2 linked regions of the Notamacropus eugenii genome follow. The protein of the gene in region 2 interacts with the protein of the main gene of each other region in a pairwise test. Links are inferred from orthologs where the notes say so. Each region holds a gene or a part of one and is shown on either strand. Other genes may lie near its edges.

The links. The genes of interacting proteins can lie anywhere in the genome.
Region 1: the proteins of CEP70 (region 2) and EMD interact in binary tests that used the Homo sapiens proteins (3 or more experiments, as listed by UniProt). The two-hybrid records come from large-scale screens. The link is inferred for Notamacropus eugenii from reciprocal best matches to the Homo sapiens genes CEP70 and EMD.

The regions. Positions count from the first base shown.
Region 1 is NC_092879.1:9,699,845-9,708,000, reverse strand, and holds the start of EMD (emerin), read left to right. Parts: upstream 1-4,765; 5' UTR 4,766-4,947; intron 4,948-5,063; 5' UTR 5,064-5,072; coding exon 5,073-5,154; intron 5,155-5,599; coding exon 5,600-5,698; intron 5,699-5,821; coding exon 5,822-5,896; intron 5,897-7,619; coding exon 7,620-7,792; intron 7,793-8,156. UniProt on the Homo sapiens protein: Stabilizes and promotes the formation of a nuclear actin cortical network. Stimulates actin polymerization in vitro by binding and stabilizing the pointed end of growing filaments. Inhibits beta-catenin activity by preventing its accumulation in the nucleus.
Region 2 is NC_092876.1:328,657,288-328,665,525, reverse strand, and holds the start of CEP70 (centrosomal protein of 70 kDa), read right to left. Parts: upstream 3,389-8,238; 5' UTR 3,371-3,388; intron 1-3,370.

The DNA of each region.
Region 1 (8,156 bases), on a different chromosome or scaffold from region 2:
CCATTCTAATTTTTAAAGAACTATTTTCTTCAGTGAGCTTTTGAATCTTCTTTTCCAGTTTGCTAATTCTTCTTTTTAAAGGATTCTTCTCCTCATTGGCTTTTTTGACCTCTTTTGCCATTTGGGTTAGTCTAATTTTAAAGGTGTTATTTTTTTCAGCATTTTTTTGGGTCTCCTTTAGCAAGCTGTTGACTTCTTTTTCATGATTTTCTTGCATCATTATCGTTTCTTTTCCCAATTTTTCCTCCACCTCTTTTACTTGATTTTCAAAATCCTTTTTGAGCTTTTCCATGGCCTGAGACCATTGCATATTTTTTTTGGAGGCTTTGGATGTAGAAGCTTTGCCTTTGATGTCCTCCTCTGATGGTAATCATTGTTCTTCCTTATCTGAAAGGATGGAAGAAAATACCTTTTCATCAAGAAAGTAACCTTTTGTAGTCTTATTTTTTTCCCCTTTTTTGGACATTTCCCCAGCCAGTTACTTGACTTTTGAGTCCTTTGTCAAGTGGAGGGTATACTCCAGGGACCTGTAAGTTCTCAGTTCCTCTAAGGTGGCACAATTAAGGGCACAATCTCCTGGCCTGTACTCTGATCTGTGAGCAACCACAATCACTCATTTCTGTCCTGAAATTATGAATAGGGTTCCCTCTCCACAGTCACCACCTGCTCCACCACTCCAGCACCAGTGCTCCTTCTCACCCCATGACTGCTACTCTGGACTGGGACGAAGATCAGCTCTTTGATTCCCCCAGGGTCTTTAGGCCAAGGGCTCTAAAAGTGGACGCTGCTGCTGCAGTGGCTGCTGCTGCCCTGGGGCCAGGGCTGGGGCCAGATCATGCTCCCCTCCCATCCAGGTGAAAGAGCTTTCTTACTGACCTTTGAAACTATCTTTGGTGTTGTGGGTTGAGAAATTTGGGAGACTCAGCTGCTACCCATGCTTCCGCACCCTGAGACATGCTCCAGTCCTGTCCTTGCTGCATGCCAAGACCAGGCTGTGCTCTGTGCTGAACCTGGTGCAGTAGGCCCTTCCTGTTGGCCTTCCAGGCTGTCTTGGGCTGGAAATCTGTTTCATTCTGTCATTTTTTGGCTTCTGCTGCTTTAGAATTTGTTTAGTCATTTTTACAGGTATTTATGGGCAATGGGGGGAGACATAGAGCAGGTTTGTCCTTCTACTCCACCATCTTGGCTCTGCCTCCCCATTTTTTCAAAAAATATGTTTCTTGTAAGAATCAGACTGTGGAGTTTTGTTTTATTATTCAATCTGTCACTTTCTTTCATTTTATGGATTGTTTAACCCAATCACGTTTAAAGCTACAAATTGGGTTTATGTTTTCCTCCAGTTTTTCCTAATGCTGTTTTTCTACAAATTACGGGTTTTTTTCCCATTCTAAACACAGTATAATGTCTCTTCAGTTATTTTACCTTAATCTTTTTTTTAAGGTGGCCCTATTCCCACTGGCTTTTCCCCCTTCATCCACAAGTCCCATTTTCTATTTTTTGCTCCTTTTCCTGATTTTTGGAGTTTTGCTTATTAGTTTCTTATTTTTTAAAATTTATTTATTTAATTCTTCCCTTCTTTTCCCCCTCTTGGTTAAGTAATCAAGTAGAATTCTCTTTTTTCTCCTCCTGATCAGTGCTTTGTTAGTTTTTAAAATTTTTATTTCCTGTATCTTTTTTCTAAAAAGAAGTTCTTTCTTTCATTCTCTTCATCACTTATCTTCCCTTTCTGCCTAGTTTAGACCTTTATTCTTTGATTCATGGCCCACAAATTTATTTAGTCATTCTCTTTTCTCTGTGTATCTTGTGGAATTAAGCCTTTTGAGGTTCCTATTTTGGGTTCTTTCTTTTAAACACTGATTTTACTTGGGATCTTACTACTACTTTGGGATCCTACTACCTCTCTGACATCTCCTTGTCTATCTCTTTTGCTGGATCCTAATCCAAATCACACCCTCCACTGGAGGGACACTTAAAATCCCTCAGGGTTCTGTCCTGGCTCTCTTCTCTCCTCCTTCTACACTATTTCACTTGCTGATCTCATCAGATCCCATGAGTTTAATTACCATCTCTATGCTGACCATTTTCACATCTTCCTTTCCTGGCCCAATCTCTCTGTTGGTCTCCACTCTCTAATCTCCAACTGCCTTTCAGACATCTTGAACTAGATTTTCAGTAGACATCTTAAACTCAATATATCCAAAATAGAACTCATTTTCTGTCCCCCTAAACCCTCTCTCTTCTCTCCCATCTTTCCTTTTTACTGTAGAGTTCATCACCACCCTCCTAGCACCTTAGTCTCTCAGTCCAGGAGTCATCCTGGATTCCTCACTATCTTTCACCCCCCCCCCCCATATCCAAGTTGTTATCAAGATCTGTCCATCTCATCTCTGCAATATTTCTCTAATATTTCATCTTTTCTTCTCTGATACTGCCATCCCCCTTGTGCAAGTCCTCATCTCCGTGCTTCTAGACTACTTCAATAGTTTGCTGGTGGGTCTGCCTGCTTCATCTCTCTCCTTTCTAGTCCACCTTCCATTTAGCTACTAAATGATTTTCCTAAAGTGCAGGTAAGATTATGTTGTCACCCTCTACCTCCTCCCCCAGTGTACTCAGTAAACTCCAGTTGCTCCCTTTTGCCTCCAAGATCAAATACAAAATGTTCTGTTTGACTTTCAAAGCTCTTCATGACCAATTTATCTGCTTCTTCCTCTGGTACTTTTAATCTTTTTAAAAAATAGCTTCCTTCCTCTATTGCTTACTTTCTCACTCCCTCCCCTTTGATGGTTTTCATAGGGGCTGGATGTTAAGTGTCTCAGCCTCCTTTGCTGGTTAATTCCTGGTTTACTAGCCTTTACTAGGTCTCTGCTCCAAATGACTTTTAGTGGGTAGAACTGGCCACACCTGCATGCTGGGCTCTTTTTCTCAGGCTCAATGAAGTGCCATACATTTCTTACTTCCTCTTCCCCCTTTTGCCCATTCTCTCTGTCCCTCAGTTCTCTGGTCCGATGGCACAGAATGCTGCCATGCTGCTATGACAGCCTGAGTGAACTTCTGCTATTTGGAGTTTGGATCTCTACTGCACTGTGGGTAGGGATGGGGGTTGGGGGTGGGTATGGAATTGAGGTCTGTTGCCAATGAATGGAGCTTAGTGAATGGCAGAGGAGGGGATGTTGGGTGAGGGCTCATTAGAGGGTAGGGAATGTTGGCTTTTTCTGTTGTTGGTTAATTTAGTTTTTACCTTGTTTGGATATTTGATGTCTTATACCCTGTAGAGAGCTGAAATTGCTTTAGCTCCCACTCATAATTCCCATTTTGGAGAGGTCTGAGAGTTCCTGAGGATCTGTGAAAATATCTAGGCTGCCATCTTGTTGGTCATGCATCCCAAACTCTTAAGAAATAGTCAGTAAAGATATATTAAGTACCTCCTATGTCCCAGATACTGTGCTAAGCGCTGAGGATACAGATAAGAAAAAGAAAGAGGGCCTCTGCTCTCAAGGAGTTCACAATCTAATGGGGCAAGCACAATACACAAAAGAAAGCTGAAAAGGGGGTCAGGAGCCACCAAGAGTATCTTGTAGGGACATGAATTTTGTGAAATGGAAACTAAGGAAAGCTGCTGGTGGAAAATAAATTCTTGTTGAGTGTAATTGCAGCAGCAGAAGCCAAAATAGTTCAGCAGGCTGGAGAGGGGGAGGGGGTTATGGTATTTTACTGTTTCATGAGCTGCTCTGGGTGGAGGATAAGAAAAAACACTGCAAAATCTAGTCTTGGGCTGTTGTGCTTTTGGCAAGTGAATTTTTTCTTTTACTGGCCAGAAGCTTTATGTAGAAATGGCAGGGGGTTCTTGGGATTCAGGGCCATTTTGTATGTTCTAGCTACTGTGCGCCCTTCACTGGCCTTGTTTGTATAGAAATGGGAGGGAGTTTCAAGGAGCTGGGGCTGTTTAGTGCATTTGATGGTCAGTCAAATCCAATTCCATGCAAGTCATATCATCATCTCCCAGATGTCCTGGTCCTTTTTGAGTAAGGACAAACCACAACACAACAACTTTGATGGCTGCCCTACCAGATTTCTGCCCAGAGCCTCTGTTGTTATGTAGCTACAGAACAGGCAAGTTCTCCAATTACAGGGGCTGAAGATGAGTCAGCAACGAGAGAAGAATGACCTAAACGACCCCAGACTCCAAAGCCCCTCCTGCTTCTTCCCATACAAGGCCAGAAGTGGGGGCACAGGGCTCTGCCTCACAAGGGCATGTGGTCAAGCATGATCAATGGGGTAGGGACTGTGTGGCTGCCCCTTCCACAGACCCAGACAATGGGAGGTCCCAGGGGCCCCTGAAGAATGTGCTAGAGAGCCCTGATTTTTTCCGCATTATTTATTTTGCTATGTGTTTGGGTGAGGTTCATCCTTTTTAGGGATGCTTCTTAAGTTCTGGGGGGAAAATACGTAACAATGTTTCATGGTTAGGCTTTGTTGCCCTGTCTGAGGAGCCAAATCCACGGGGTCCACACCAAAGGGCCTCCAAAACAGCACTGGGCAGTGCCTCGCAAAATGAATAAAAAGACGAGAAAATACGAGCCATGCAAACAGGCACTAGGCTACCACTGAGATCCTTATGGACACTTAGCGCCCTTGGCTCTGCAGTTGGAGCCTTGGGCCCCGCCCCCTTGGCCTCCCCTGTCGGCCAGCTCAGCCTCGCCCCCGCAGTCCCTGCTCAGCCCCGCCTCGCCCCTTTGCTCGCCAAGCCCCGCCCCCCGCCGCCCCTGGGCTCGGGCCTTGGCGCCCCCGGCCGGACAGGCCCCGCCCCTCGGCTCTGGCCACGCCCAGACCACGCCCCGGCGCTCACTTCCCGTCGCGCCTGTCGTCGCCCGCCCGCCCGCCGTCGCCGTCGCGTCCCTCGCTCGCTCGCTCGCTTGCTGAGGAGATCAGCCATCTCTGCCCTGTCTGGTAAGCACTCCCGCCCCTGGCTTCTCTCCTCAGGGCGGGCCGGGCGGCCGAGGAACGTCGAAGCTTCTCGAATCGCTGCGGCTCACCCGCGCCCGCCCCGTCGGGCTTCCCCCTAGGTGTCCGCCATGGAGGACTACCGCGGCCTCTCGGACCAGGAGCTCGCTCGCCTGCTGAAGCTCTACAACATCCCCCACGGGCCCGTCGTGGGTGAGTGTGGACGAGGAGGGAGGGGCAGAGAGAGGAGGGAGCCGGGAGAGGGGAGAGGGAAGGGGCGACATCTCCGCCATCCCTCCTGGAGCCTAGGGGGTGTGGTAGGGCACCGAGTAGGTGAGGCCGCCTGCCCCGCCCCCAATCCCATATGTAAACTGAGGGCACCTAGGCCCTTTCTGGCGGGTCCCATGCCCAAGAAGCCACCTCCCGATCCTCAGCGCTTGAAACCGAATGTGATCGGGCATATTGTTGATTGACACCTGCACGGTAAGAGCGTGAGATCTCCTGGTGGATTGGTGGGAGTTCTGTGATTTCTCCCGTCATGGGTGCACCTTCCCACCCCATCACCACTCAGGCCCCCCTGAGTTCCAAAGGCCCTCCAAACTTGGGGGATGCTCTCTGGGACCTCTGGGAACACTCACCTGTCCGTCCGTGAATCTAGGTTCAACCCGAAAACTGTATGAAAAGAAAATCTATGAATATGAAAGTCAGAGAACCAAGCTTTCCCCTGTGACTGCCAGCTCTTCTTACCAATATGCAGGTGAGGAGGAAGGGTGGGACTCATTGAGCAGAAATGAAATGCTTCTCCAGTTGTGGGATGACTTGGGGAGTGTGACTAAGGAAGGCAACTTTTCTCACAGTGTATCTTTCTGTTGTGCCACAGAGGATTTTGAGGGTGAAGCTTATGGTTCCAGACAGGGACAGGATGAAGATGAGGACATGGATGAAGGTGATGAAGGTGAGTGTGGTTCCTGTATCCTAGAAGGCTTCAGGTTCACCCTAAGGAGTGGTAGGGCCTGGCCTGGTTTGGCATTGCCTTTCCCTAGCTGCCTGCAGTGCCATGGGGCTGTTTGGAGGCAAAGTGCATGGTTGGTTGTTCTGTGACCCCTTGTCCCTCTCTGCAGCTAGAAGCCAGTACTTTTGGGCTAGACAAATATGAGCTGCTCCCAAGCGAGGCTCCAAGGGCTCTCACTGATAAAGGTGAGGGAGGAGACCTATGATTCTGGCTGAGCCTGGCATTAGTGTGCCAGGGCCCAACTGGGCTGGGCTGGCTTCTGTTATCCTTATTGTTTGCATGGACATCTTTTCCTCCCAGTCACATTGCCTGCCCATTCATTCATTCATGATCTCATTTCATGGATTAGCCACAGCAGGTAGTTTGGGAAGCAAGGATGACTGTAATTATTTCATAGTTGGAGGCAACTCACTTGGGGCCTGACCTTGGCAGCCTGCAAGTCTGTTCTTTTTTTTTTTGTTAAATTATTTTATTTTCAGTTTTCTGCAATCACTTCCATATATCTTTCCCCTCCTTCCCCACTCCCTCCCTGAGACGGCGTGCAATCTTATATAGGTTCTACACATACATTCTTATTAAGTACATTTTTACCTTAGTCACATTGCATAGAAGAATTAAAATGAATGGGAGAAACCATAAAACAAAACATAACACAAGAGAAAATGGTCTGCTTCATTCTGCAATCCAATTCCTTAGTTCTTTCTCTTGATGTGGAAGGCGTTTTGCCTTGAGTCCATTGGGAATTTTTTTAGGTCCTTGCATTGCTGTGGGTTAAGTCCACCAGAAAAATTCATCACACACTGTGGTTGTGGCTGTGTGGTTCTGCTCCTTTCACTCAACATCAGTTTATATAAATCTTTCCAGGTCTCTCTAAAGTCTTTCTGTTCATCATTTCTTATAGCACAATAGTATTCCATTACATTCATATGCTACAACTTGTTTAGCCATTCCCCAGTTGATGGGCATCCCCTTGATTTCCAGTTTTTGGCCACCACAAAGAGAGCTGCTATAAATATATTAAATTTAATAAGTTCTAATAATTTAATAATTATATTAATTGAATAATTATATTATTTTAATAATCAACAATAAATTTAACAAATATTTATCAAATAATAAATTTAATAAATTCTAACAATTTAATAATTGTATTATTTTAATAATTATAATAACTTAATAAATTTAATAGATATTAAATAAAATATATAAATATAAATAAATGTGGGACTCTTTCCCATTTTTATGATCTCTTTGGGATACAGTCCTAGAAGTGATATTGCTGGGTCAAAGGGTATACGCATTTTTGTAGACCTTTGGGCATAGTTCCAAATGTACAAGGCTGTTCTAAGCCCAAGTCTGGAGTCCTTGGCCTCCAACATTTATATAGTGCTTACTATGTGCTGGGCACTGTGCTTAGCACTTTACAAATATTATCCTTTGGGCCTCACAGCAACCCTGGGAGTATAGATGTTCTTATTCTCCCCACTTTACAGGATGGAAACTAAGGCAGACAGCAGTGAAAGGTCACAGCTAGTGAGTGTTTGAGGCCAGATTTGATCTCAGGTCTTCGTGCCTCCAGTGCCCAGGTGGTATTGCCCCACTTAGCTGCTTCTACCAAAGCCTTGGTCTCTGGCACTCTACCCTTTTCTTCCTCTGACTCTTCTAGTTGACTATGACAATTACTATGAAGAGAGTTACTCAACTACCAAGACTTATGGGGAGACTGATATTGGAGCCATCCCAGCAGCCAAGACCAGGACCAGCTTCCAGGAACCCCTGCCTTCCACAAGCTACAGCAGTGGCAGTTCCAAGCCACCTACTTTTCACCTGCGCCAGCGGGTAAGTGAAAGTTCCTGCCCCACTCCCCACCATCTAGGTGCCAAAGTCAGCTAACCTTTCAGTCTTCCATATCAACTATTAAATGATGAAGGGTTAGACTGTGATGCCATTGATATTGGAGCAAATTCCTCAATGAGGAAGTCCCCTGTGCCACAACATACTGGTACCATAACTTTAGCAAGTTTCCCAGAGCACCTAGGGCCCCCCAGACCCCATGTGTCAGAGAATAGTAAGACTTGGAGCCAGCTTTTCCTGTTCTGAGGCTGGCTTGCAGTCTCTGACACCAGAGGTATCTAGCTCAGGCCTGTGGGCAACCAGCAAAACTCCTAAGTGACCTCTGAACTCCATGAAAATGTCACTAGGA
Region 2 (8,238 bases):
GCTCAGAACTTTGAACTTATATTTTACTTGTCCTTCTCTATTTACAGCGATTCTCTTTCCTTCTCACCTCCTCCCTCTGGCCTGATATAACCAGGTGGTTGCTGTCTCCTTTACAATCACTCTCCCATTGGTTCATTGTTTTCAAATATCCCTTGTTTGGGCCCTTGTGACCTGGGCTTATGCAGTAGTCTTTTAACTGGTTTCACTCTACAATCCTCCCTGTTTTCTGCTGTCTAGATTAAGCTTCCTAATTATAATTTATCTTACGTGACTCCCCAATACTGCCTCAGCAGCGCACAATAACTTCTCATTGCCTAAAAGATAAAGTTTAACCTCATTTTGACATCCAAGGATTAATATAGGTCTTTTATTTCAAGTTTTAACATTCCTTTCAAGCATCATCTCTAACTATTCTCATGCATTCATTCCAGAAAGAGGTATCAAATACCTGCTGAGGGGGGCTTCCATCCATATGGCTGCATCAGAGGTTTTCAGTTAGCCTCATTAGCTCAAAACAGACATTTGACAGATAAATTGAAGGAACAATAGAATATAAGAGAAAGTAAGGAATTTCTTATAATAACAACAGCAAAAAGACTTAAAAATGAGCAAGCAAATAAAAGTCCCCTGAAATAGTAAGAGAACAGTAAGAACTATCCAGAAGAAGAGAATATGTCCTATGATGAAAATCTCCAAGGAAGAATTGATGACTTTGAAGAGAAGTTATAAAACATAAGCAAGGCAATGGGTACTTGGTAAAAAAAGAATGGAAGAAAGAAAAAAGTTCAGTGATATTACTGCAGAGCCAAAAGACAGCAAACTTGGGAGGTCTTTGTAACAAAATATAATTTGCCTGAAATACAGGGCTTGGAGAGTCCACCTAAGAATTACTGAACTTCCAGAAAAACATTATTGAACAAAAAGTATGAGGATCATGCTTACTTCAGGAAATCAGAAAAATTGCCTAGAAATATAAGAATTAGAGGGTAAAGTAATCAATAGTATGCATAATCAATCAATAAACATTTACTAGGCACCTACTATGAACTTAGCACTGTGCTAAGTGCTAGGGATACAAAATGAAACAAAAGACAGTCTCTGCCCTCAGAAGAAGCTTACAAATGGGGAGACAAGATACAAATTTTACAGATAGATAGATAGATAGATAGATAGATAGATAGATAGATAGATAGATAGATGGATAGATGGATAGATAGATAAAGCAAGTTATATGCAGGATAAATAGAAAATAAAAGAGAGAAGGCACATGAATGAAGAGGGGTTGGGGAAGGGTTCCAGTAAAAAAAAAAAAATAGGATTTTAGTTGGGACTTGAAACCTAGGGAGGTCAGTAGTTGGAATGTAAATATTCCAAGCGTAGGGGACACCCAGAGAAAAATGTCCAGAGCCAAGAGATGGAGTGCCTTGTTTGTTAGACAGCCAAGAGGCTATTGTCACTGGATTGAAGAGTACATATCAGGGAGTAATGTATAATACTGGAAAGGTAGGAGAGGGGTTGGTTATGAAGGGCTTTGAATGCTAAACAGAACACTTTGTATTTGATCCTAGAGGCAATAGGTAGCAACTGGTGTTTATCAAGAAGAGTTTGGTGGCTGAGTAGAAAAAGGATTAAAGTAAGGCAAGAGTCTAGACAAGTAGACCCCCCCCCCCCCCCCAGTACGCTTTTACAGTAATCCAGATGCTGAGGTGATTCATGCCTACACTGGAGTGGTGACAACATCATAAGAGAAAAGAAAATATATTTAAGAGATGGTTCAAAGGTGAAATTGACATCCTTTTAAACAGATGGAATGTAGGGTAGGGAGGGGGGAGTAAGAGATAATGAAGAATCCAGGATGAGTCATAGGTTGTGAGACTCAGAGACTGGGAGGATGGCATTGCCCTCTATAGTAATAGGGAAGGTGGGAGGGAGAGAATTTGGGGAAGAGATAATGAGTTCTGTTTTGGATATAGTGTATTTATTGGACATTTAGTGGACATAAGGTATTTATTAAACATCCAGTTTAAGATGTCTGAAAGGCAGTTGGAGATGTGAGATTCTAGAAGTCAGCACAGAGTTTGATGTAAGATAGATAGATTTGAGAATTATCAGGATAGAGTTGGTAATTAAATCCATGAAAGCTACTGAGATCACAAAGTAAAGTACAGGTATCCCTTCCACATCACAATTTTCCCCACTGAGGTTTTGATATATCATGAATCAGCATAAGAAATTAAATGGGAATTTTGGGAGAATTTTACAGAAGCTGAAGATGACACATGGAGGCCAGCAGATGACACAGAAAAAAATCAGAAACTCAGAAAAAGTTTAGAAACTCAGAAATGCATAAAATATAGTCTATGACCAAAGACTTAACCAAACTTTACAATAAGGTACTGTAAATACCCCATAATAGAAAAAAATCAGACTTCTCTGGTATGAAGAGAGGGCAAAAAAAATTACACAGATTTTCCAGATTGTAGAGGTGCCATGCCCCTAGCACCCATGATGTAGAAGGGATAACTGTAGCATAGAGGGAGAAGAAAAGAAGGCCCAAGAAAGAAGCCTAGAAGACACCTATAGTTAGAAGGCATGATTTAGAAGAGAATCTAACAAAGGAGACAGATAAGGAGCAGTCAGATAGGTAAGATGAGAACCAGGAAATATCGGTGTCCTACAAACTTAGAGAGGAGAGAAAATCAGGTAGAAGAGAGTGATAAACAGTGTCAGTGGCTGCAGAGAGGTCAAGGAGAATGAGGATTAAGAAAAGACCATTTGGATTTGGCAGCTGATAGATCATTAGTAACTTTGGAGAGAGCAGTTTTGGTGGAATGATGTTTGGAAGCCCAACTATAAGGGGTTAAGAAAAGAGTGAGAGGAGAGTAAATGGAGGCCGCATCAGATGGCCCTTTTCAGGGAGTTTAGCTACAAAGGGCAAAAAAGATATAGAATGAGTGGAAACAGAAGGATCATTTGAAGTTTTTTTTTTTTAGGATGAGGGAGACATGGGCATTTTTGTAGGCAGTAGGGAGGGAATAGTAGTCAGTAGACAGGGAGAGGTTGAAAATAAGTGAAAGTAGGGATGATAGATGGGGCAATCTGTTGGATAAGATGAGATGGAATGGGATTGCTTGAACAAGTTCTGGGGTTAGCTTTAGTAAATAGTAAGGTAACTTCGTAATGTGAAATAGGGTTGAAGGAAAAGATAGTGACAGAAAGCATCTGAGTGACAGGAAATGATGAGACTGGAGAGCCACCAATAAAGAACCACCCCAGGTTTAAGTCACACAAAAATGTGATTGCCAAGCTTCAGAGATTACAGATCAAAAAGGAAATATTACAAGTGGACAAAAATAGGTAGATCACATACCAAGGAATGTCATGTAGAATCATGCAGGAATACTTTTCCTCAACAAAGAAGAAAGGGGGAAAAACTGGAATGCAATTTATCAAAAAGCAAAGCAAGGATATCCTTGTATCCAAGGACAATATCCTACAAAGTTGAGAATAATCCAAACATGGAGGAAATAGAACTTTTAGAAGAATTGATGACCTCTAAGCATTCCTTTTGAGAAATCTAGAGTTGAACAGTCTTGGAAATGGAAATGATTCCACAAAAGAAACTTAAGAAAGTTAAAAGAATCTACATAGCTGTGAAGAGCTAGGTGATACTGCAGTGCTTACAAACTGAAAGCAGGAAACAAGATTATTTTCCCTTGGAAGTCCCACTTAGCCTTTGAGAATCCTAGGTTATTTCTACCACTAAGAGAAGGCAGACATCAGAATAAACCTTAGTGAGCAGTTTGCTCTTATGGCATTGTGACACATTCTGCTGGACTGCAAAACTTGAACCAAAATACCATCTCTGTGCCTACTACTTCTCAAAAGTTTAAAGATAAAAAAAATCTGATTCTAGTCACATGACTAAACACATAGTGGACAACTAATTCAGGACTAAATAAACAACAATTCACACTTCTCTAGTACTTTGTAGTTTACAAAATACTTTCAAATACATCATCTCATTTGAGTATCACAATTGTGTAAGGTCAGTAAGAAATCCATATGGTACCTTTGTGAGCCACTGACAGCTTTAAAGTATCAATCAGTGAACAAGCGCTTACTAAGTGTCTCCTATGTGCTAAGAATTGTCCTTGTCCTCAGAGACCTTACAGTCTACTAGATGGATACAATAAACTGACAGGTAAATACAGAATATGTACATTTATCCCTGCTCGGAATTTGGCCTGTCAGGGTAAGAAGGTGGAGATAGTTTCCACCTGTATTCCACTGGCCTTGAAAGTAATTGACAGCAACACTTTATTTTTGTTTCTATTTTATTTCTTTGGGGCAGGTAAGTGAGACAGTAGATATAGTGCTGGCCCTGGAGTCAGCAAGACTCATCTTCATGAGTTCAAATCCTACCTTAGACACTTTCTACTTGTGTGGCACTGGATAAGTCACTTAAACCTGTTTCCCTCAGTTTCCTCATGTGTAAAAAGAGCTAGAGAAGGAAGTGGCAAACTACTCCACTATCTTTGTCAAGAAAAGCCTAAACAGGGTCATCAAGAGTCAGACACAACTAAAAAACAACAAAATTTTATTTCTTTAACTTTAGACACCAAATAAAATGAGCATTTCCATGTACATAGTAGAAGAGAAAAAAAGATTTTACATGAAAGTGTACATCTCTATTATGTACAGTTTGCTTTTTTTAAGTATATAATTAATTCAACATAACTTTCAAGGCTATCCTGCTTCTCTGGTATTCCTTCTCGACTTCCTTCAGTTCTGTTAATTTTTTTTTTTAATGCTTCAATACTGTTCTTTTTCTTTCATTTTTTTTGGTGGGGAGGGAACTCTATCCCTATCACCCACTTCTTCTCACCCTACCTCACTGAAACAAGAAAAACAAAATCCTCATAACAAATATTCATAGTCAAATAAAATATGCATAATCAACCAAAACAAATTCCTACATTGACCATCATTTCTCCCATTGGTCTTCTGGAATTGTGCTTGGTCCTTAAATTGATTAGAGTAGGCTTTTCTTATTTCACTGAATCAATTATTTTCTTGGTTCATCTCAACTCACTCTGCATCAGTATTAGCATTGTTTATCATCAAGCTAGAACTTTTCCCAAAGGAAGTACAAAGAAAATGATACAATGATACGTCCCATTTTTGTAAATAGCATCTTAGGCTACTCTTTCATTGTAAAACAATACTCTCCATGGGCAGTGACTTGACAGTTTTTTCTTAGATACCACTTGAGCAACAAATAGAATAAAATAAAGGAAAATAAACTGACAATGTAATTAATTACATAATTAGTCTGAATTTTAGAAAGACAACATTGTGTAGTGAAAAGAACTTTGAATTTAGAATAAAAGGGTCTAGATGTGAATCCTATTTTTGACTGGCCTAAGTTGCTGAGCCTCAGTTTCCTTATATTCAAAATAGAGATAATAAGGCTCACACACTCTGCCTTCCCCATAGAATGGTTGTGAGGTAAGTGTTTTGTAAAACTTGAGGTACTACACAAATGTAAGTTTTTTTTTCCCCTAAAACCCATGATTGTCTTATCCAAACTTTGCCTCTCTTGTGGCACTTAGCATGATTTTCTATACACAATAGGCTATTAAATACTACAGTCTTTGCTGAGCTCAAAGTGAGAAGCTCCTATCTACATCACAATCAGTACAAACTAGCCTCTTCAGCAATGCCTCCTTTTGGTTATTTCTGTGCATATGACTCATGGTTCTGACCCTATCCACTGAAAATGTTTTCTGCTTGGATCCAGCTGTTACAATTTTCTCAGCCCTCTCTGATCATAGTCTAGCAAAGTAGTTTGACGAGTGGAACATATTATGAAACATTTCAAAAGTTAATGTAAACTCTCTCAGTCAACATTTTTACAGTAACCATAACTAATAATCCCCAAGGCAAGATTTAATCTTTTTTCTCGATGACTGCTCGTGACCTATGGGAAAATAAACCTGAAGGATTAAAGAGAGTTTTAATGAGATATTATAATACACAGAACAAAAGGAAGTTCAGAAGGGGACACTGACAAATAGGGCATTTTTGTTACTACCATGTTAAATTTAACATATTTTTAAAAAATTGTATGTAACACGTTCAATTTTATGCAATCCTCTTTTCTTCTTTGCATGTTGAAGTGTTTGTGTTTAGTAAGTTCATAATGTAGCCCATAGAAACTCTGGGGATCCTTGATCCAACTCCCATTTTTACAGATGGACCTCAGGTCTTGTAAAAACATTACATATCCACCCCACCCCCCACCTCAGAGTTTGAGGAAAATCCAGGAGGTAATTCTCTAATGACATCAGCTCAAACCCCCACCAGCATGCTTCTTTCACCCCTGAGGTTATCAGTTGAGAATCATTTTAGTCAACCAGCCTTACGTAACTTTTACATATTTACTAAATTGGCATAATTAGCAAAGTTTGTAGAAAACATCTCCATAAAAGTCTGTGGACACAAGTATATAGAGACCAGGGAAAAGTCAACTCAAGTTTAGGGAACAAATGTTGCAAAGGGGTAGATCAGAGCTCTGGGTTTGATTTCTAAGCTATTTGTGGTTCTATAAGTCTATGCTCAATTTGTCTTTGGCTCCCAATGCAGACCCTGCCATCAGCTGATCTGGGGATACCACCAGAACACCAATAGGAAGATGAGAAGTCCAACATTCTCCGGACCCTTCAAAATCCATAAGGTCCTCCTCTGACCAAGGTTTAACTTCAGGTTTCTACTTCCAGTGCCCATGGTTCTTCCTAAAAGGGTTTTGTTTTTTTTTTAAATGTTGTAACCCCTCAAATTCCTCTAGTTTTAAGCAAGCTTGATAATTTATAGATGATTCCTGGAATGTGATCAAAAGTTTCTGTGCAATGTCACTCTAATTCAAAGGAATTTTTTCATTTATTGTAAAGCTGGGATTATTAACTTGTGTGTGTGTGTGTGTGTGTGTGTGTGTGTGTGTATGTGTGTGTTATAGACTCCTTTCGAAGTCTGACAGAACCTATGGACTCCTTAACATAATGTTTTAAAATAAAGAAATTTCATTTAGAAGTTAGTGGTGCAACTTTTCTTCCCATTCAGTTTCACAAACTTAACTGAAATCTAGCCATGGACCAATAGGTCTAAAGCCTACAATTGAGAGTGATTGGTTGTTTCTTTTTTTTTTCACTTTAAGAGGGGTAGCATGACTTGAATAAATCAGTCAGCCTCACCCTGACAGTAATAAAAAAAGGAAAATAAATAATATAGTAAATCTGGGAAGTTTAGTGGTTTATAATAAACCTCCTTTTACATACACAAAATGAATGGGAATTATCTCAGACATTGGCTACATTCTCTAGGGAAGCTAGCAGCTGCCAACTAGGTTGTGCTGGGCCAGATAATTTCTGCAATTCTGGGCCATGACTTTACCAATGAAGTTGCAGGATAGGATCTCAGCAACTCTACTTCTCCCTGGCTACTCCCATTCTGAACTGTCTTTTTGTTGTCATCAATAAAGCACAGGAGGATAAGGGGAAAGTGCTCAAAGCCCACTAGGCTGAGAACAGAGGCAGCAGCTGGTGGTTGCCAGATGGCAATGAAATAATTAAAAATGCTGTGGTACAGGACAAAGAAGCAAAGAACCTGAGACCCATTTTCTCTGCCTTAACCCAGATTTGAGCACACTGTTATAATCAAAGTCTTTCATGTGGAAGAGGGATCAGAACTAGAACCAGTAGCTAGAAGCTATAAAAAGACATTAAAAAAAAAAAAAGGTTTTATTGATGCCTGTTTTTATATTACATTAAAAACTTGATATGTTTCCATTCCTTTTCCTCCTTGTGGCCAAGAAAACCTGTTGGGGGGTGGGGAGGTCATATCTCACATTGAATACAACATTCTGTACCTGTAGTCCTTCACTTCTCTTTGGAGAAGAGAGAAAAATATGTTATCATCTCTAGGGTAGCAGATTTTGACTCCATATAAAAAACTCTCCAACACATTGCTGTGCAACAATGGAAGGAGCAGCTTCATGAGGTAATGAGTTCCCTATTACATCTTGGTTTAAAGCCTAAAAATTATCCTTTTTTCTGATGTGCAAAAAAAGAGGAGACTTTTCTCCCAAGGTTTTATTGAAGCAAATTTTATTTCTATTCACATTTATTTTGTTTTTCATGGTAGATATTACACACACACATACACACACACACACACACA